4 linked regions of the Arabidopsis thaliana genome follow. The protein of the gene in region 4 interacts with the protein of the main gene of each other region in a pairwise test. Each region holds a gene or a part of one and is shown on either strand. Other genes may lie near its edges.

Region 1 (4,460 bases), on a different chromosome or scaffold from region 4:
GCAAAAAAATAATTAATGTTAAATATATATTTGCCTAAAGTTATTATATGTAACGATAAACGATATTAAAAAGATAAAAAATAGAAAATAAAATTAGCGATAAAAGATTTATTAAATAAATAAATGATATTTTTGACGTTATCCTAATGAAAATATGAAAAAACTTATTTTTGTGAGCAGCATTTGGAAAGAAGTAAGTGATTGGCTAAACTTCTGTGTGTAAATAAAGGCTTTTTCTTTTATGTTAAATGTTTTTCTATTTAAATCAGGAGTTTCCAAAGTAAAAGAAAACACAAACTAACCATGATCCCATAGTTATGGCTTTTTTAATAATCGCAAAGGTTTTATCTATTTTATTTTACCACGGAAGAAATTGATGTGTAAATGATCTATCACATAGAGGGATATACTTTGCCTCGAAGCATCACTAGAAGCTAATTAATCAAACATGTATATTTGAAATTGTCGACTATGGTTATAATACATATGTGAATTTAATTCCTTGTACACACCTTATTTGCAGTTATTTAAATATAGTTATATAATTATTTATGCATATTAAAAAAAAAAATCCCCCATTATTTTTACATTTCGTCCGCATGTGCTACTTTAGTTTGTTATATTGATTGAATTAACAAAGACACCCACAATCCCATGGTTATTGATTTTCTTCAGTAAGGTCAATGGTTAGTTTATTTATTTTCTCAAGATTTATTCTGCGTCCAAAAAAATCGTTACACTAAACAAAACATACAATGTAACTGAATTCTGTCGAATAAAGAAAGGTTTAAGCGATTTGAGCAAAATTTGACCTTATGAATTTAAAAACCTTGAATACAACGACGAATCTCTAGATTGTGTTATCATTACACTACAAAATTTACATTAATCCTCCAACGAATCTCTTCTCAATAAAAGAAAAAAGTTATCAACTAATTCAAAACAAAGTCAATTTGTTTTTGTTAAAGACCTCCTCATGACTCATTCCTCCCTACTTATCAACCATCCCAGCCTCCATATCCTCCTTGGCGTCGTCGTCACTACTGCCACAATCCACCGCCGTTGTGAGCACCTTAGCCCTTTCCGCCTCAAGTTCCCAATCGGTCCTACACGTCGCCGCCATCATACCAATCACACACGTGATCTGCGCCGCAAGCATCCCAAGCCAAAGTCCCTTAAATCCAAACCCAAACCAAAACGCCAAAACTGCTCCAACCGGAATGCCAACCGCGTAAAACGCCACTCCATTAATATTAGCTCCGATCTTCGGCCTCGCGGAGCCTCTGAGAACACCGCATCCCGTAGTTTGCGGGCAGTTCCCGAGCTCACATAGACCAACGATTGGCAGAGCCATGGCAGTCAACTTCATGATTTCTTTGTCATCAGTGAAAAACATCGCCCATGTGTTTCTAACCGAGACAGTAAACGCGAAAGCCGTAAACCCTAGGGCGATGCTGAGACCAAGTCCAACAATGGCTGCTCTTCTCGCTCTTTTTGGCTGGTTAGAACCAAGCTCGTTTCCGACCCGGGTGGAGACTCCTAAACTCAAGGAATGAGGGAAAATGTACACAAGAGAAGTGATTTGGATGAGAATTCCCATTGAAGCAACACTTGCTTTAGGGTCTAAGAGAAACCCACAAAGCAAAATCATAATCTCATAGCACCACCACTCAAGACAAACCGATATACAACTTGGTATCGCAAGACAGAGTAGTTTCTTCCATTCTCTCACACTATCTTCACATGTCTCCTCTGTTATCTTCTCGTCCTCATTAACACTTAGCTTGTCTTCGAAGAAACAGATGTAGAGAAAGAGGAAAGCGACAAGGTTGAAATTAGACACAACACCACTCAAAGCGATTCCTTTAATCCCCAAACCGAGGTAACTTACAAGGAAGAACGTGATTGGCAAGTGAAGAAAACTCGCGATCACTGTACAGATTGATAAAGGAAGAGTCTTTGACTGAGTCCGAAGATAAACTCTTAATGGGTGTAAGAAAGATTGAGCGACAAGATCTGGAACAGAGTAAAGCAAAAAGATGTGCGCTTCGGACGCGAGCTTCTTGTCCTGTTTCAAGATTAGAAGAATCTTCTCCATATTCATCCAAAGAAGTGTAACAGGGAGAGAAGTGACGAGAAGGAGGATGATTCCTCTCTTGACACTCGCGCAGACGTAGTTATAGCGTCTGGCTCCAAAGGCTTGTGAACAGATAGACTCAACGCCCATGGTTAAACCGGAGAAAAGAGAGTATCCGGTGATGTTTGCAAATGCGGCGGCGAGGGAGCCACCGGCGAGAGTGGCGTCACCGAGACCACCGAGGAAAGACAGAGAGACGAAGGAGCGAACGTAGAGGAAGAGACCAGTGAGGACCAATGGGTAAGAGATTTTGCAGATTGAGATTGCTTCATTTAGGAAAACAGAGAGAACAGAGGAGTGATTTTTCAGATGAGAGGTTTTTTGGAGTAAAGGTAATGTAACTTCGTCTCTGACACGATTTGATTGACTCATTCTTTTTGTTTTTGTCAATATCTGTGTGACAGAGGAAGAGGGAGAGAGAGAGAAGAAGAAGATTTGTAGGTGTGAAGAAGATTGGTTGAAGCATTTGGCTTTATATAGAGAAAGTAGTGAGTGGGTTTTATTGTTTTAACATATTATTTTTTTCGTTGCACTGGATTTTAATATTATTATTTTCAATTTGGTCATATGTATTTTATTTTCAAGTCAAATGGTTACACGCTTATTACATTCAAATTTGTATGTTCTTGTTGTTTAACTAGAGTTAAATCCATATACACGGTTTCTACTCAATCTGAAGATGTATTAGTGATGCATTGACACATAGTATCATTAGTATTAGTATAAATAGACTATCACCTCAAAATCATGATTTCAAAAAATGTTTATTATTTTCTTCTTTTGTCAAATGTTTTTTTTTTCTTGTCAATATATACAGTTTATAATGTGAATCAAAATCTATATGACAAAAATTAGAATAATAATATATTTTGTCTAAATCATGTATGTTGATTATACGCATGTTATATACTTATATCATGTATCACTATACTGATTCAAACTGGAAAAAACGGTGTGTACGGATTTAACTATAGCTAATTACAGTTAACTACGTGTGTATAATTTCTAATGGAATAGAATACATGCATATAGATTCATTTAAACGATGACAACCAGCTCTGGTTTGAGAAATTTAAACCTTACATTAAACGTGATCCTCATAAATCAAAATGGGGAAAAAAGAATGAGGAAAGATTAGTAAACCAAGCATAATTTACTAGCACTTGATCCAATTTTTGACTAATTAGATTGTTATATTATTCCCTTGCTGAAAAACCCTGAGAGCTGGGATAATTTACGTTAAGAGGAGGACCTTGAAATTGGTAATTTACGTTCACACACTTAAAGGAGATATTGCCATATGATAGACGAGGCCCAACTCAAACATTCAAGTACACAAAATATAACTTTTCATCATCACTATATTCTTTAATCAAATAAGATATGATTAGAGTTTTAAATTAACTGACACGGAACGTAATAGCAAAACTGAAACAAGGGACGGGTCAAATATATTCTCATGATAAACATGCCACTAACAAAGTACTTGGCCAGTGGGTTTTGAACCTATTTCAAATAGAAACTTCTCTTTTTTTCCCTGTTTTTTTAAAAAACATCATTTTCTGTTTATAACTTTTCAAAGTCGAAGTTTACACACGGTGTGCCCCACGCGTTGAATTAGACTTTTTAAAAAAATCCCAAAGTGGAGTTTGGGGATTAATGACAGCTCAAAAAAGTAAGCATATTAGATTTTAAAAAGTGCAATATATCATATATCTTTGTAAACAAAATGAAATTGTTTATCGTTACTCACACGATTATGTTCTCGAAATTAAATTTGGATTAGAATATTTGTAACCTAATTGTATACCAATTGTCACAAGAATATGGTCTCAATCTTTTATTTATCTCACAAGAATATGGTCTCAATCTATTATTATAGAGATTCAGTCTTTTGTATCGTACTTATTTAATGTTTTCTATTAATTACGAATGTTTAGGGTCATATTTTTTTATTTAGGCAAAAAAAGAAAAATCTAAACGGTATAATGAAAGCTGTAATCAGCAAAAAGATGGAAGTTCGTTAATATGCAAACTATGAAGTGGAATTGGCTGGTCGGACGTTGACCAGACATGTTCGAGCAAAATAGTGTTCAACACTGAAGAACAAAAAATAAACTCGTTTTGGGACCAAAGAAAACTATATATGTTCCTACATTTTTTTTGGGTCAACAACTATACTTCGCTAAAATTTCTATACATAAACTAACACAAGAACTAACTGTTACAAATTTTATTCATTTTGAATGCTATTTAATGATGTTTCTACTGTATAATACATTCAAGTTTAAATTATTTCTTTTTGATATTAATCGACAAAACC
Region 2 (7,196 bases), on a different chromosome or scaffold from region 4:
TACATATAGACAACCCTCGGTGCGGTTCAAGAGTGACCGTTCCTTGTAAAGCTCCGGTGAAGCTAGGAGAGATCGAAAGCTCTTGGAGACAAAGGAGAGAATCGGATAATACAATCTTGAGACTCGTGCGATGCAGCTTATTATCAAAGCATCGGGAAGTGACGGATTTGAGTTCGATTCCGGCGCTGGCGAAAACTTTTCCGGGGACGACATTGGATGAGTTTAAGAGACGAAAATGGCTGTTGAACTTGGAGAAAACAAATTTAGGGTTGGACTTTATATATAGAGGGATTAAAACCGGTTAATGCCTTTGGTTAAGGGGAGAACCGGTTATTTGTTTTGTATGTTTTGTTTGGTTAAGCATTGAGTAGTGAGTTGTTGATAGCTTCATTTATGAACAACCAAAAAGGCTCTATTTGTATGCTAATAATGATCACTCGAAATCTCTAGGTATGAAACGATCCTTATAGTTGTGAGATGTGAGTTAGTTTTAAGAATTTATGTATGTATTCTATATTTCTTATTATGATATTGTATATTCAGTTTTTGTAATGTCGGATTTCTTTTATGGTAAAGAATTATGCTTATCAATCAATAAGTGACATAAATTAATTAGAAGTGAAACAAGGGACAAAATCATAGTTTCAAGGCTCGTAACGCATTCATCAAAGAGTAGCAGCAAGAACCTTGACGAATTCATATTGTCTAGGGACTGTAAGCACATGAGCAAACCATTCAACTTTTCCCCATATTTCCAAACTTCCGCGTCTTTCAAGCGCAATCTCCGCACACCAAATCATCTTCTTTCGGCGCCCAGGCAAATAGTCGTCCCACAAAACTGCCATCTTCCCACCATAATCAACCATTCTAAGACAAGCATCAATAGGGAACTTAGGTAATCCTACCATACCCTTCAAGTCTCTCCACTCTCTTTCCTCACTGTGATACCACCATACGGACGTTGAGATATCTCCTTTTACAATAGTGTACCAAACATTCCCTATATTGCGATAACAATCATATAAATACTTATTATGTTCTATGCTTGGTGTAACCAGGTCCCATCTACCTTCCTTGGAATTGTAAGCATCCACACCTTTGTAGCTCACCAGGTGCAATTTTCCGTCAAACCTTACGATTTTGTAGTGAAAGTCGTGTTTTGTCTCGCTGCAAGGGACAGACAAAGGATCCCAAGTTTGTGTATTTGTGTCAAACACTTGGAACGTCATGGAGTCGCCATCTTTGCATCTTCCTGATACATATATCTTTTCATCAAGAACGCAAGCAGTACATGACATTAGCTTCACCCGCAACCTAGGGCCCTCGTGCCACGTGTTAGACGTGCAATACAGAATCTAGACGCTAGAGGAAGGCAATTCATATCCGCCAATGTTGTAGATACTAGAACAAACCGACACAATGCTCGAAGAAGATGACTCAAGAGGAGTATGTGGAAATGGGACTGTAGCCAAAACATACCCACTTGACTTTAGGGTTCCAGTATGTTTACGGAAAAGAGTAAACCACCTCGGTTTCTCATCTTAAGGATTTAACTTTAAGCACACATAGAGACAACTCTCCGTGCGGTCCAAGAGTGATCGGGTCTTGTAAAGCTCCGGTGAAGCTATGAGAGATCGAAAGCTCTTGGAGACGAGGGAGAGAGCCGGATAATACAATCTTGAGACCCGTGCGACGCAGCTCAATATCAAATCATCGGGAAGTGACGGATTAGGGTTCGTTTGCGACTGCATCGTGTACCGCTTCTTCTCCAACTTTGCAGAGAACTTCAAGGATCGGTCTTTATAAAGAAATTTCCAAAACCGGCTCACGTCTTTGCTTAAGGAAAAACCGGTTCAACTTTCCATAGTCAATAGAATCCGAACCGCCAATTGATTTTGATTGTTGACCGGGTTTAGTAGACCGAATTTAGAATAGGTGAACCGTGGCCAGAATTTTGGCGGCCGATACACTTCTTTACCTCAGCCTCACATTACTACTCTCACAAAAGATACACAGAGAGAGAAGAGAAGAGGAAGAAAATGGGATCTATAACGGTAGCTCCGGGAACCACCGTCTTATTCTCCAGTCGGCGGCTAGATCTTTGCGGTCGTCGCCATGAGAATCTATCCGTCGTTTCGTCCTCACAACCGTCTCTGATGCCAAAGCAGAGATGGCTTTATATTCCCGAGACGAGGTTGAAAAGAGAGGTTTTAAAGCTCGATGTCGTCGGAAGAGCTGCTGATTCCACGAGCTCTTCTCCATCAGTAGCTTCCGGTGATAGAACCTTAATTCCTGATGATGAATTCACTTTAGCCAAGGTTTTAAATCCCTAATTAAAGAGTTTCTTCAAATTCATTGTGTTTATATAATTAACTATTCCTGAATCAGTCATTGCCTTGTCCAATTTTGTGAACTGTGTGAGATTTATGGTAAAAGTATAGTGTCTCTCCAAGTAGGTAGATTCGATTATTAGTGGTCTGAAATTGAGAATTAGGAAGGATTTGATGTATGCAACTCATAGTTTATAGGTGGTATTGAATGTGCGTTGGAATAATTTTGGACACTGAAATTTTTTCCATATGTTTTGCATTGCAGATTTCATTTGGTGTTATTGGGCTAGGTCTCGGGGTTTCGCTACTCTCGTGAGTTTTCTCTTGCCTTCTTTGTTGCTATGGGTATATGTGAGGTTTAGCATTATGGATCTGTTTAACAGGTATGGTTTTGGGGCCTATTTTACTATCCTTCCTGGAACTGAGTGGTCTGCTATAATGCTAACATATGGATTTCCCCTTTCTATTATCGGAATGGCTCTTAAGGTATGCTCTTTATGCTCTTTAGTTATCTTTCTCACTATCATGTCCTTGAGAAAGTGGAATGTTTCGGATAACTGTAAAATTACTGAGAAAATTGACTTTTGTATTAGAGTTACTCATTTCTTTCTTTGAGTTTTCGGAATGGTTAATTGTTTTAGTCCCTGAGGATGGGTTTTGCTTCCTTTGCAGTACGCAGAACTCAAACCAGTTCCTTGCTTGAGCTATTCGGATGCGGTGAAGCTTAGAGAAAGCTGTGCTACTCCTATTTTAACGCAGGTACGTAGTGGTTCTGGTTACTCTCGACTGACCGGAGTACCTTCAATCTGATTTTAGTTGTTCTTCAGCTCGTCTTTGTTACATTAATTTCCTAAAACATATTTATGTTTCTGATAAGAGGAAGGGGTGTTAGTAGTTTTCGTCATTAGTATTTCGAAATTCAATCTAAACACTAGCTTGATTTCAGTATCATAGGTTCTTTTGCAGAAAGTCTTGCTCAGTTTAGTTTCCCTATATGACATCACATCGTAGTTTTGTCAGTGCACATAGGATTTTAAATTTACTTCTCGTGAATTGTTAATGTGCCTTCTTCTTTCTTTTATTAGGTTAGAAATGATGTCACGAGATACCGTTATGGAGATGAACAACATTTGGAAGAAGCACTAAAACGAATCTTTCAATATGGGCTGGTAAGCTATTTTGTTGAAACAAAATGAAGCACGAAAACAAAATGAAGCACAACACACGCTTCTTGTACTTCCGCTTTAACCTCTCTTTCTTTCGACTGTTTTGGTCATAAGGGAGGAGGAATCCCGAGACGTAGTGCACCTATCTTACAGCTGATAAGGGAAGAGGTACATTTCTTCACGCGCATGACTTTACATCATATTATTTACATGAATCATCAAAATATATAACTCAATTTTTACTTGCATATGACATGGATATTGACTGGTGAAACTAAACTTAAACGGATCATTTTTGATAACTCATCATGTCTGTAGGTCCTGACCGATGGTCGGTACTGTGTGGTCCTTGTATTTGAGGCCAAAGCTCTGACGTTGTCAGATTTTGAAAAAAGACAGGTAAGAGTTAGATTCATATACTACTAACAAATCAGCTTGGCGCATAAGAAAATAGCTTAAGTAGCGTTGGTTTTATCAAATCTAGTTTTTAAGAAGTAGCAAAACATAAAGCTGGAACTAAGCATAAAAATTTTGTTTTGATAGGCGAAATTCACTTCCTTCTTTGGACCAAACATCACGGCAGAAGTCGGTAAGTAGTGAATCAATTCTCCATTCATGTTTATGAATTTCTTGTTCTCGGTTCTTAAAAAATTATTATTGTTGTTTTGCTTTGAAGGTAAAGGAGAAAGTGAGAATCTCTATGAAGTAAGACTGATTTCCAACCTCTCCACCAACTCTGTATCTTCTACCTCTTGAACATAGACAATCATGTATACGGCGACGTTTTCAGTCAATGTTATTTTGGTCTTGTAAATCAATTCTATATAATTATCCTATGTATAAAAAGTTCATACTATTTACAGAAATGGGAATTGGAACTAGCCTTGTCGAATGGTAATACGGTCGGAAGGGGACAAGCTACGATTGCAACGTGTTCTAGAGTAATTTTGATTTGAGTAAACAAAATACATATACTGTATATTATTCATATCTTGGTGAACAATACAAAATATATTAGTTTGTTTTAAATTACCAAACTAAAGCCTTAAAAAAAGTATCAAATTAAGCACATAAGTTAGAAAAGAAAAATGTGTTGTAAGAAAGAAAAAAGGTTAGGAAAGAAATATGCGACAGAAAAAAGAGTTTTATGGGCTTACAAATAAGAAAAGCCCAAATGGGCCTTGAGTTTGAGCTTTACATAAAATTCATTCTACTAAACTTAAGCAAAATCATTCCTTCTTCTTTCTCTGAAACTTTTGCCTTGCTTGCTTGCCCAGAAAGTCGCCGAGAAAGTTAAAAGTAGAACGGCGGAGGAAAAAAAAACGAAGAGGAAGAGGAGAGATGGAGTCGCAGAAGAAGATAGCTCATGAGATCGGAGGTATGAAGAACGATGCTCTTCGCTTTGGTCTTCACGGCGTTAAGAGCGATATCCTTAGATCTCATCCTCTCGAAACGGCTTACGAATCTGTAATCAATCACTTCACAATCTTTTTTTTTTTTTTTATTGATATTGAGGAATTAGAAAATTAGGCTAATTAAGGAACTTAGGGTGTTGATGAATAAGCTTCGTGTTGATTCAGAAATTTGAGAATTGGGATTTTTTGACGGGGTTTCTGAAATTAGTTTTTTTTTTTCCTTTCTATAAACTTGTTTATTGTGATTTCAGGGGAAGCAATCACAAGAAGAAATGAAGAGGAGAGTGATCACGCATACTTATGGAGCTGCTCTTCCTTTGAAGATGGATCTTGATAGACAAATCCTTTCTCGGTATGGATCTTTAAATCTGTAGCATATGAAATTCTGAATTACACTGATTATTAGGTATGAGAATGTATGAGAATCTTCCTTAGGCTTTATAGAATACTGTTAAGATTGAAATATGGTTTCCTAATGCTAGTAATCTATCTTGATTAGGTCAATTGCTGTTCTGAATTTTGAAATATTGTTAGTACAAATGTGTATATGAATCATCATAATGATTATATCGAAAATTCGGAATCATAATCGTGTAGTGCTACTTAGAATTAGATTTGCAGAACCATAAACGCGTAGTGGATACTCTTAAATTAGTAGCAATATGTAGATTGAATTCAGAACCATAAACGCATAGAGCAGCCTCTTCTTCATTGAATATTTATTGGTGAATTGAATATTTATTGTATATCTTTTTATGTGGAGTATTCAGGTTTCAGAGACCTCCTGGACCAATTCCTTCATCAATGCTTGGCCTTGAAGTCTACACAGGAGCTCTAGATAATTTTGGTTTTGAGGATTACTTGAATGGTAATTGTTTTACACCAGTTTTCCCATTTGGTTGTGCATTAGAGTTTTCTATTCCTACAATCTTTGAGCATTTCTCAAAACATGACCGTCACATACTGCTTGCATTGTGTAACCAAATCATCCTCATCCTTGCATAGAGTTTAACTCTTTGTTTAGCATATAATAGAAAAGTGTCTCAACTTGTTTATTTCGTTTCGCTTACTAGTCTCTACTTTGTAGATTGTTCCACTCCAAAACACCAATAGACAGTGACAAACCTTTGTTCCAGTTAGACTGTCACAAATCATCGAGCATTGCTCAAAAATTGACTGTCACATACTACTTACTTACATTGTGTAACCAAAGTTGAACTTTTGGTTCAGTATATAAGAGAAAAATGTTTAAACTTTTTAATTCTCTTAGTTTCACAATTTATATTGTTCTGACGATGAATGGTGTATAATCTACAGATCCTCGCGAATCCGAGACGCTGAAACCAGTAGACTTTCACCACGGGATGGAAGTTCGGCTTGGTCTCTCCAAAGGCCCAGCTTCCCCAAGTTTCATGTAGTCACCACCATCAAAGTATTTCCTTCGTCAGGTCTCATATGCTTTTTAATCTGAGTAAGATCATGTTATGAATTTCCACCAGCCCTAAAAGAATCTACTTGTTGTTTGATCTCTTCTCTATACTGTGTCTCCTTTGCTCTGAACATGATAAAACATATGAACTGTGTTTCAGTTCTTATCTCTCTCAGTTCACAATTTGTTGGACTTGCTTAGTTATTTAAATAAGATTATGCTCCTATTTCATTATTATGTTACTGACACCAAAACCTTGGATACTAGATTCTATTAGAATAAATAAATTGCATATGGATTAATACTCTAAACAAAACAAAAACAAAAGAACAAAGTAAGATTGTTTTAGTGACTCGGACTGGACTGTTAACATCGGATAAATCTGAAAAAGTAAATAAATAAAAATAAAAACCCTATTCTACGTTTTATTCGTCTGGGAAAACAAAAATTAAATTCGATCCCCAAAATTAATAATTCCGTCTTCACCGAGAAAAAATCCAGAGCTTCTTCTCCTCCGACGCGATGGAGTCTCGTCGGAACCCTCGCGCCGTAGTAGATCCAAAGGTCCGACAAGTCGGTTTCTTCACATCATCTCAACCCGATTCATCAACTCAACAACAACAACCCGACCCGATCGCTGCTACCTCTGCTTCTTCTTCTTCTTCCACCATTTCTCCTTCCGGTAACTCACTCTCCCCCGTCATGATTCCTCCTCCTCGTCTCAATTCCTCTGATACTTTCCCTCTTCGAGTCGCTGTCGCTGGTGCTGCTGCGTCAGCCGTGTCTCCTTCTTCGTTTTCTTACTCAAGTCGCCGTGATTTCCCTGATGGATCAACGACGGCGTCTCCTGGACGCC
Region 3 (4,854 bases), 5.4 Mb from region 4:
TTCTACTTTTATCGTGCAGATATAAGCGTAGGTAAAAGGAAAAAGCATTTTTGAGAAGATATCGAAGGACAATCCCACGAGAAGAAGGACATTTCATTGAGAAGGGTTTAAACAATTTAAATTATTGTTGTAATATCATAATTTAGAACAAAACTGGTTAAGATGTTCGAAATTTTGTTTTCTTTGTCCTATGGTTTTTATAATCTTTCATAAAGCTTTACCATGATTATTCGTAGTATGAAGAAGCAAAAAGTGGTTTAAAAAAAAATTAAAAAAAAAAAGAAGAGGTAAAAAGTCACGTGAGTTGGCGACGGTTGTAGTTGTAGACGCGTGGGCACGTGAGAAGACTATGTATGTTCACAGACTTCAGAACTTGAGACTGTAACCTTTTGTCTGTTCGTACGTGGCACAACTCATTAGTCATTAGAATGTTTTGAACCGGTTTAGGAGCTAATATGAGTTTCTGCATATTCAAGATGCCTTTTATTTCACACCAAGGGGTTTTGATACTAGTTAGGGTCTATAAAACTAAGTCTTAAGTGTTTTGAGCGTGAACTTTTCTTTTTTTTGGTCAGCGTGAAATGTTTCTAAGCTTTTAAACGCATTAAATTTTCATGATATGGATAACAGATGTTACAAAAGAAAAAAATGTATGTGGATAAAGATTAAACTCTTAACTTAATATATTTAGATAGATCGCATATTATATTTGTTGGGAAAAAAAGAGGGGGAGAAAAGAGAGACGATAACACGCTTCACAAGTCATTGGAAAAGAGACTGAGGATTGTTGACGTGTAAGCATCCCCACTTTTGCTCTTTTCTTTCTTACACTCCTCATTTTTTCTTATCTTACGCTTCACCTACCATATTTTACACTCCACACAACATCTCCAATATTATACATCTCCAATTAAAAATCTTTCATAGGCACATCATTTATTATAAAATAACTAATTCGTTATAGACTCTAGTCTAGTTTTCTAGTTAAAACTGATCCCTAGAAAATATTTTGATCATAAAACTATTTCGGTGTGAAAACGAATCACTAAACCATCCTTTGGTGTTTTGGGTTAAATAACTAAAACATTTCGGTATGAAAACAGATCACTAAACCATCTCATTAGCATTAACAAGGATATTAGAATAGGAAGCTTTTTTTACCAATAAAAATGATTATAGGTAGGTAGGCACATGGCATACACATATGATTTATCTGTGAGACTGTGACAAATACAAATATGAAGACATTCCATATTTGCATGCAAGAAAAAAAGAAGGAAGTAAAGAGTGAACAGATAGTCAGATACGTAAAACGAATAAAGGAGAAGATGGTAAGATGTCGTATTATATATCCAAAAATAAGAATACAAACAAAAGAAGAACACTGATAAATATTTTTGTTACTCCCCCGAGAAAAGGCCAAGGTCCCCGAATCTGACGGAGTTTATTGCATCTGTCTTTTTTTCCTTCTTCTCCTTTCTTTTTGGTTTATCTTTCTTTTTCATACTCTGCATGTTTTTAAACTTCACTGTAGTACAGAATTTCATCTTTAACATAAATTTGTGTGAGGGCGATTTATGATCGATCATTCCACCTTTTTTTAAATGACTTTACTGACAAAATAAACATATTATTCTTTAGTCTTAAATAAATAGAATCTTGTTTTATAATTTTGCTATTTTTATTACGTTATTTTACCAATCAAAACTATGGTTTTATATTCCAAATTTTATTAATATAGTGGCAACTTCCCAAATAAAAATCTTGACAATTTGAATAATCTTAAATTTTTGCCTAGCCGATTTGGCGAATTTTATTTATTTATTTATTTGTTCTATTTAAGAAATATCAGACTCACCGAAATATTTATTTCTTAACAAATTAAGCTAACCGCTCTCAAATTTTTGTTTTGTCTTATTTCATACATATTAAATCCATTGCACCAAAATTTGAGGACTCTATGTGTTATAAAAATAATCACCGTTTTAGACTAAAAATAAATTAAAATCTGCGCTTCCCCAAAAAGCTATAATGGCGAGACACTCCATAATAAAACCAATGCAATGTAATGGACACATGTCTTTAAAAGCAAGAAGTGAAAGATAGAGAAAGTTTCAACTTCAAGCATTACACATTACCAAAAAGAGAGATCACAAACAAAGCATCTTTTCTATTTTCATTTATCAACAACAACAAAACCAAAAACTTAATTAGTGTTTCTCTGCTTTTTTAGTTCCCCCACAAAATCGAATCCTTCTGTTCGGTTACCAAATGGGTTCCAACTGATTTGTCCGTTATTATTCTTTTTATTTTCTTCGTGTTTTTTTTGTGTTGAAAAAATGATGAAGAGAGAGACGTTAATAGAAGCAGGAATAATCGGAGGATTGGCCGGAGCTCAGGTGATTTACGCCGGAAACTCGGAGCTACTGAGTCAGTTGCTGTCTCTCGGAATTGACCCACTTCTTATCGTTATCTTATGCACCTTTGCATCAGTTCTTCTCATCACCCCTCTCGCTTTTCTCCTTGAAAGGTATCTTCTTCTTTCTTTTAATTTACAAAATCTCTGTTTCGAACTTTATTCTACATTCTTTTTCTAATAAAAATTTGGATTTTTGTGGTGTGTATTTGTAGGAAGCTTTGGCCTAGAAGTCTAAGTTTCAAGTTGAAGATAAAACTAGTTTTGGTTGCTCTTGCTGGGTAAAAACTCCTCTTTTTATTTATTTCTGCATGTTTTGATTAATAGATGCTTACCTTGCTTCTTCTATACGTTAAAGAGAAGGAGAAGAATTAAAAATTCATAACAAGGGATTAATTAAGAGAGAAGTTGTGTTTGAAACAGAGTGACTCTGTTCCAGGGGTTATTCTTGGAAGGAATGAAACACACCTCTGCTTCAATGGCTACAGCTATGCCTAATCTCTGCCCTGCTTTCATTTTTGTCATTGCTTGGGCTGCTGGGTAAATCTTTTACTTTTGTGTTAATCTAATCTGTTTAGTGTTTGAAGATTAGAGCTTTCATTAATGTGTTATTTGAATAAATTGTAATTGTTAAGGATGGAGAAAGTGAAGCTAAGTTGTATGTATAGTAGAGTTAAGATGGGAGGGACAGTGTTGTGTGTGATGGGAGCTCTCATTATGAGCTTAATGCACAGTACTACCGCTACTTTAAGCTCGGTTAAGACTATACCTATTGTCCCTGACGAAGTCGTTGTGGACAAGGACAAGATCTTAGGTTGCCTCTATCTCCTCCTTGCCATTTGCGGCTTGTCCTCTAGTATTGTCCTTCAGGTTTCACCTTATACCCCTTCTTAGCCCTAGAGCTATCATATATCCGGTTGTGCTAATTAATCTGATTCTTTGCTTGTGAAATCACTTTGATCGTCCTAATTAGGCATCCATACTAGCCGAGTTTCCGGCGCCTATATCAATGTTCTCGATGGTATCTTTGATGGGTGGGATCACCACAGTAGCTTTGCAGTATGCTCTTAAGGGAAGTATGGAAATGGGAAGTGCATCAGTAATCGGTCTCGGCCACCTTGTGGGATACGCAATACTGGTACGTCATAAATCATATATGGTTGGCAACATTTGGATGTGTTGAAAATGTTTTTGTTTTTTTTCTAGGGAGGGTTGGTGAGTGGAGGAGGGTTAAGCTTCAATGCATGGGTGATTAAGAGGAAAGGACCAGTGATTGTGTCTCTCTTTAGTCCAATTGCAACTGTGGTATGTGTTGTTGTCTCTGCTTTTACCATGGAAGAGAGTTTCAACCTAGGAAGGTACATTTTTGCAGCTTTTCGCATTCATTGTATGATCTTTTAGACAGAAAGAGAAGTCATTTATCTTCTTTCTTGTTTGTTTTTCTCTGTCAAATTAGCTTTGCGGGAATGGCGTTGATGTTCGGAGGACTCTACTTCGTTCTGTGGGCTAAAGGAAAAGAGGATTGTGAAGAAATAGATGAAATGAAACAAGATGATGAAGAAAGTTTGCTTAGAACAGAGTTTGATCTTCAGAAGCCTCTCTTGCTTTAGTTCAAAGTCTTTTTTTTTTCTTCTTCTTAATGTTCTTGTGAATTTAGTTTAGGTTTAAAGAAGTAAGACAATTTTACTTTACAGATAATTCGGTTAGATATACATGTAGTAGGCTGTAGACTACAGTATATGTTCGTGTGTGATACTAAAATAGTTGGATATAAAAAAAACATCACATACATACAGGGCGAAGAAAAAGGGCCTAAACGATGTTATGTAAAAAGTTGTTCAATGTGAAGGTATATTTATATATAAATAAAAATTACCGTTGAGTTAGAAGATGAAGATAAACCTACCTAATATGAGAATGCGAATGGAACTAAGCAAATACACGCCAAAGACTGTTTTCCTATTCCCAAAGAAAAGCTGAGCCAGAGTATAAGTCAGGTGTGGAGATGGAGTTAGATAATGACAAACAAGGTAGAAACAAAAAAACGCAAGTCAGGGTATTTATAGAATTGTCATTACATAGCAGATGACCAAGCAGGTTAGTGTCCGCTATATCGGAAAGCTTCAAGAGAACGGGAAGATCTTCGATTCCACCATTGGAAAAGCACCTTTTAATACTTATGTGATATGGCAATTAAGGGATGGAGTTATGTGATTGGTACGTGATACTTATGAAGTTGTTGTTACATGCAGGTCATGGTAAAGTCATTAAGGGATGGGATGTTGGCTTAAATGGTAACTTAGTTTCGTCCTCCTAAAGGTTTTCATCACTTTGTTTCAAATGGTGTATTGCTCTCAAGTTTTAAAAATTTCACAGGCATGTGTGTTGGGGACAAAAGAAGGATTACAATTCCTCCATCAATGTCGATATCTTCTTCT
Region 4 (4,433 bases):
CTTTGGTCTTGTTGTGGGAGTGAGAAGATATTTGTGTTCACGACAAATCATATAGAGAAGTTAGATTCTGCTCTGATGAGAAGTGGGAGGATGGATATGCATGTTCACATGGGTTTTTGTAAGTTTCCGGCTTTGAAGATTCTGTTGAAGAATTATCTGAGGCTTGAGGAAGAAGATATGGATAGTGTTGTTTTGAAGGAGATGGAAGAATGTGTGGAGGAAGCAGAGATTACTCCGGCTGATGTTAGTGAAGTGTTGATTAGGAATAGGAGTGATGCGGAGAAGGCGGTGAGGGAGATTGTGAGTGTGTTGAAGGAGAGAGTTGTGAAGAGAAGGAAGAGTGTTGGATTGAAGAAGAAGAAACAGGAAGGTCAAGAAGAAGAAGAAGAAGCAGAGGAAGAACAAGAGAAGAGAGCTTTGGATAGTCCTAATAGAAGAAACAGAGAGGTTTGTGGGTTTCGAGAGGAGGAAGAAGAAGAAGATGAGAAGGAGAAGTGAATGATAAGAGACTGTTTATCCTAGGATCATCATCTAATGGTGGTTCTTGTGTGTTTTTAATTATCCGTTTTGTTTAGTCAAAATTATTATAATATATGATTAGTTACCATATAATATAACGTTATCCATTTTGGTTTACTCTTAAGTCAAAAGTAGGCACTGTCCAAAGTTAACCTTCTGAGATTTGCTACATGAGAGTTGAGACTAAACTGGCTTTTGTATCTACTAATGCTGCAGAAATTGCCACTTTGTTGTTGTATATGTTGTCTCAAATTTTCGTGTCGGTTACGTTTGTTTTGAAGAGATAAAAGAGAATTGGCGTTTGGACTTTGGGTGTTGTAAATTGGTTAGTGTCACACCCTTTTTTATACAGGTTATATGTGAAACCTGTAAATTTCAAAATTTATAGTTCAAGAAAACAATTTACTCGAGAAGTGACATTTAAAGAATCATCACATCAAACACTTGACTTCAAACTAGAAGTGACCTGAAAAATCCATCCGTTCTTTTTTTTTTTCTAAATATAATATTGACCGCTGATTTTTGACATATTGTAGTAGTGAAGCCCAATCCTACCCAAAGAGATTTGCATCAGAAAAAAGTTGTTTTATATTATGGGCCCAATCTTTTTGATCAAAAAAAATATATATATATATTATGGGCCCAATCTCTAGAATCTACCACCGGTTAATGTCTAAATAAGAACAAAAACAGGTCTTGGTAACTAATTAAAACTGAAAACACCAAAATCAAGGTTGGGATTTGTTGAAGAAGGTGGTATTTCACCATATCACAACAACTAATTAATTAAATTTATTTAACAAAACATGTCTCTCCAAAACTGAAAACACCAAAACATGTTTTCATTTTATGAATTTCAATTTAACTAGTTAAAATTTTGATATCACATGCGCTACACATGCCACCTCAATTTGTCCTGCTCCTACTGTCTATTACTAAACTAAAAGTTAAAATTAGCGTTGAGTTTTTATTGAATTTATTTACTCATTAGCATTTGACTTGTATAGAGAGTATTAAAATAAAGAATAATAATAATAATATAATGCGGTTGGCGAACAATTGATGTTGCGGCAAACCGGTAGGCCCAACAACAACACGGACATTCTTGATGTTTTTCTTTGACAAGCGGTAATCTCCTGCAGCTAAGACCATCTTACTTTAAATTATTTCCCAATTACAATAAAACACGTGTGAAATATGGTCAATTTAGTTCAGAGAGGCCTCTTTATTAAAATCTTCCATTAACGTTTAAAGTGAAGAAAGCAAAGAAATATCGAAGAATTTAAGGAATAAAAAATAAAAACAGAAAGCTGGAGGAAGAAAAAATAAAAATTCCTTCTTTCCTCCTGAAGGCAAAAAAGGAAGAGAAGAGAAGAGAAGAGAAGGAAGCAGAATCTAATTTTGGATTATAATCGGAGAGAGAATCTATTCCGACGAATCTTTTCGGGTTGATTTTTTGGTCTTTAATTTGAAGGGTTTAGGTGTGGTTTCGAAGATGATGGTAGCGAATAGTTTCGATCTATGGCAAAAGGATGTTTTTTTCTCTGCAGCTGAGGAGGTTCAAGAATCTGCTGATATGTATGTGTTTTTTGATTCTCTGTTTGTTTAATTGACTCATGTTGCTTGTGATGGTGGAATTCGGAATTTCAATTGAAAAATAGGGTATTTCGATTGTTTAGGGGACTAATTGGCTCTAGAATGGTCTAAGTGAGAACCTTTGTGTTTTGTGAAGGAATTGAGTTATCAAATTTGAAATTTTGTTTCTTATTTGTGTTGTATTTCCAGAATGGAATCTGCGTATAGGTTGTGGTTTAAAGAGAAGAGAGACGGTCGAGTATCCGTAGAATCAGACGAGCTCTGCAAAGAACTCCAAGCTGCTTTGAGCACTGCTAAATGGCAGGTATGAAACAATCAATGGTCCTTTGATCATTCCCTTTTTTTTTCATGGTTACTCATGAGTGTGTTAGTGATATTGGTTATATTGTTGTGACTTGAATCAGTTGGAAGAGTTTGAGAGGGCAGTGAGCTTAAGCCATGGAAATTGTCGAGATGACACTACCTTAACTAGGCATAAACAGTTTGTTACCGCTATTGAAAACCAGATTTATCAAGTGGAATCTACTCTGCTAGAGTCGTTAAGCGAGAATGGGAAACAACCTTTGCGTTGGGTGGATCTTAACAAAGAAGAGCGTGATGATCTCGCCATGTTTCTATCTGGATCTTCTCAGACGTCAGAGAGTTTAAACAGTGATAGCATCAACTTGAGAGATTCCTCAACGAGTTCTGTAGCTGAGAATCCACGTGGGATCAATGGCAGAAGAGAGGGTAGATGTTATGGCGACAGTCCTGATTGTGTGATAGACATTGACGACATAGGAAGTCCGGAAAGTGCAGATAAAAAAGGCGGTACAAGAAGAACATGGAGTTCACCAAATGTACCAAATATCAGTGCGTTGAGGATTAATGTCCCTGTTAATGCAAAAGAAGAAGAGAGGGAGAAGTTCCTATCACATATTGAAGACACTCCTAAAGAGAAAGGAGCTAAACCTATGTTTTGGCTGCAGAGATGTCGTGATTATAACCAGGTAAGCTTCTGCAGTTTGGATCATCTCTACACTATTAGAAAGGATCATAAGTCTTAGTTGTTTATCATTTTGCAGCTCTTTGACAGAGTCAAGGTTTATCAAAGACGATTTCGCGTTCCATTGAGCCGCCCTATTAAGCTCATTCTTTCCTTAACGCTAATCTTGATTCTTCTATGTGAGTCCTTCTCTTGGTTCTCATGAGTTATGTCACACCACTGTTCCATGACAGTCTCTACTCTCTATAACTGAATCAAATTCCTTGTTTATACCCTTGCAGTATTCATCTTGAGAACTTAAAACCGCGGTTTCAGAAACTCTCAAGAAACATTGACAGGTAAATGATATTTTAGATTCTAAATCAGAACTCCAAGTTTTCTAAAACAATCTTTAAACATTACATCCTTTTCGTGTATCTTGCAGGTTTTTTCACAGATTCTTGCGTATTGGGTTACACACTCGTTAGATGCTACATGATTCAACATCCTTCGAGGGAAGGAGGAGAGATTAAAAGACTTTGTCAAGATTCAAATGAAGGACAAAGCCTGATTTATTACTCTCTCTTAATCCTCAGGGAACATATAGGAACCTGTAAATTTGTAAGATCAATTTGTAAAACTTGAAGCTACGACGTTTCGTTAAACTTTAGACGTGTACCTAAAGGAAACCAATGCGTGTTTGTGCTCAATGATATCTCCAGTGTTTGTTTGTCTCTCAGATATTTGTTTTGGAACAAAACATTCTTTGTCCTCTTTCACTTACTTGGCAAGTCATTTGTTCCAATCATTGTCTTACTTTCTTTTAAAATGCGCATTATAGTTGACGTCTCAATTTCTTTCATCACTAATAGTGTCACAGCCCAAAAGTACCAATTTAGGTCAATTCTAAGCTAAGTAAAAAATCTTAATATTAGGTCGTATCATATAGACATATGATAATGGTGAAAAAGATTTATGAAGAAAGAAAAATGTCTAATAATTTTCGAATCTAGAAGTCTCTGGACAAAAGAAAGGTGCATGTCACAGTCTCTCAAGATGGAATTTGATCATACCATTTATCAACCATGAACTTCGAAGCACAGATAAATGCTAAAAAATGATACAACTTCCTGTCTAAATCATTAAAAATCGACTAGTCCCATTGGGAAAAGTAAGGTAATAAATTTTTCTCATATCCTTCTCGTGCTTCTTTTGATCATCATTCATTCCTCACCTAACCAATTCAATTTCAAAAACAATTTTATTAAAATATATATTGAAATATTCTAAATGAGCTGAAATACAAAATAACGAAAAAATCAAAGAAAAAGAAAAAGGTGTGAATAAGATGTGT

What was found.
Region 1: the proteins of AT4G30240 (region 4) and AT5G52050 interact in a protein complementation assay, tested with the Arabidopsis thaliana proteins (one large-scale study listed by BioGRID).
Region 2: the proteins of AT4G30240 (region 4) and APE1 interact in a protein complementation assay, tested with the Arabidopsis thaliana proteins (one large-scale study listed by BioGRID).
Region 3: the proteins of AT4G30240 (region 4) and UMAMIT8 interact in a protein complementation assay, tested with the Arabidopsis thaliana proteins (one large-scale study listed by BioGRID).

Annotation. Positions count from the first base shown.
Region 1 is NC_003076.8:21,136,982-21,141,441, reverse strand, and holds AT5G52050 (MATE efflux family protein), read right to left. Parts: upstream 2,740-4,460; 5' UTR 2,510-2,739; coding exon 992-2,509; 3' UTR 566-991; downstream 1-565.
Region 2 is NC_003076.8:15,470,341-15,477,536, reverse strand, and holds APE1 (acclimation of photosynthesis to environment), read left to right. Parts: upstream 1-1,951; 5' UTR 1,952-2,039; coding exon 2,040-2,318; intron 2,319-2,595; coding exon 2,596-2,642; intron 2,643-2,713; coding exon 2,714-2,816; intron 2,817-3,002; coding exon 3,003-3,089; intron 3,090-3,415; coding exon 3,416-3,499; intron 3,500-3,610; coding exon 3,611-3,664; intron 3,665-3,814; coding exon 3,815-3,895; intron 3,896-4,039; coding exon 4,040-4,081; coding exon of another isoform or gene 4,082-4,085; intron 4,086-4,172; coding exon 4,173-4,201; coding exon of another isoform or gene 4,202-4,252; exon of another isoform or gene 4,253-4,428; intron 4,429-4,721; exon of another isoform or gene 4,722-4,773; coding exon 4,774-4,963; intron 4,964-5,162; coding exon 5,163-5,263; intron 5,264-5,681; coding exon 5,682-5,779; intron 5,780-6,228; coding exon 6,229-6,329; 3' UTR 6,330-6,637; downstream 6,638-7,196. Other genes in the region: AT5G38680 (Galactose oxidase/kelch repeat superfamily protein), read right to left, coding at 1-213; AT5G38670 (Galactose oxidase/kelch repeat superfamily protein), read right to left, coding at 666-1,355, 1,566-1,751; AT5G38650 (Proteasome maturation factor UMP1), read left to right, coding at 4,838-4,963, 5,163-5,263, 5,682-5,779, 6,229-6,329; AT5G38640 (NagB/RpiA/CoA transferase-like superfamily protein), read left to right, coding at 6,863-7,196.
Region 3 is NC_003075.7:9,357,357-9,362,210, reverse strand, and holds UMAMIT8 (nodulin MtN21 /EamA-like transporter family protein), read left to right. Parts: upstream 1-1,971; 5' UTR 1,972-2,339; coding exon 2,340-2,530; intron 2,531-2,631; coding exon 2,632-2,697; intron 2,698-2,739; exon of another isoform or gene 2,740-2,839; coding exon 2,840-2,956; intron 2,957-3,051; coding exon 3,052-3,286; intron 3,287-3,389; coding exon 3,390-3,554; coding exon of another isoform or gene 3,555-3,599; exon of another isoform or gene 3,600-3,622; coding exon 3,623-3,774; intron 3,775-3,872; coding exon 3,873-4,026; 3' UTR 4,027-4,305; downstream 4,306-4,854. Other genes in the region: AT4G16630 (DEA(D/H)-box RNA helicase family protein), read left to right, coding at 20-35.
Region 4 is NC_003075.7:14,807,327-14,811,759, reverse strand, and holds AT4G30240 (Syntaxin/t-SNARE family protein), read left to right. Parts: upstream 1-1,684; 5' UTR 1,685-2,014; coding exon 2,015-2,097; intron 2,098-2,304; coding exon 2,305-2,419; intron 2,420-2,519; coding exon 2,520-3,104; intron 3,105-3,179; coding exon 3,180-3,279; intron 3,280-3,381; coding exon 3,382-3,401; 3' UTR 3,402-3,438; intron 3,439-3,524; 3' UTR 3,525-3,871; downstream 3,872-4,433. Other genes in the region: AT4G30250 (P-loop containing nucleoside triphosphate hydrolases superfamily protein), read left to right, coding at 1-498.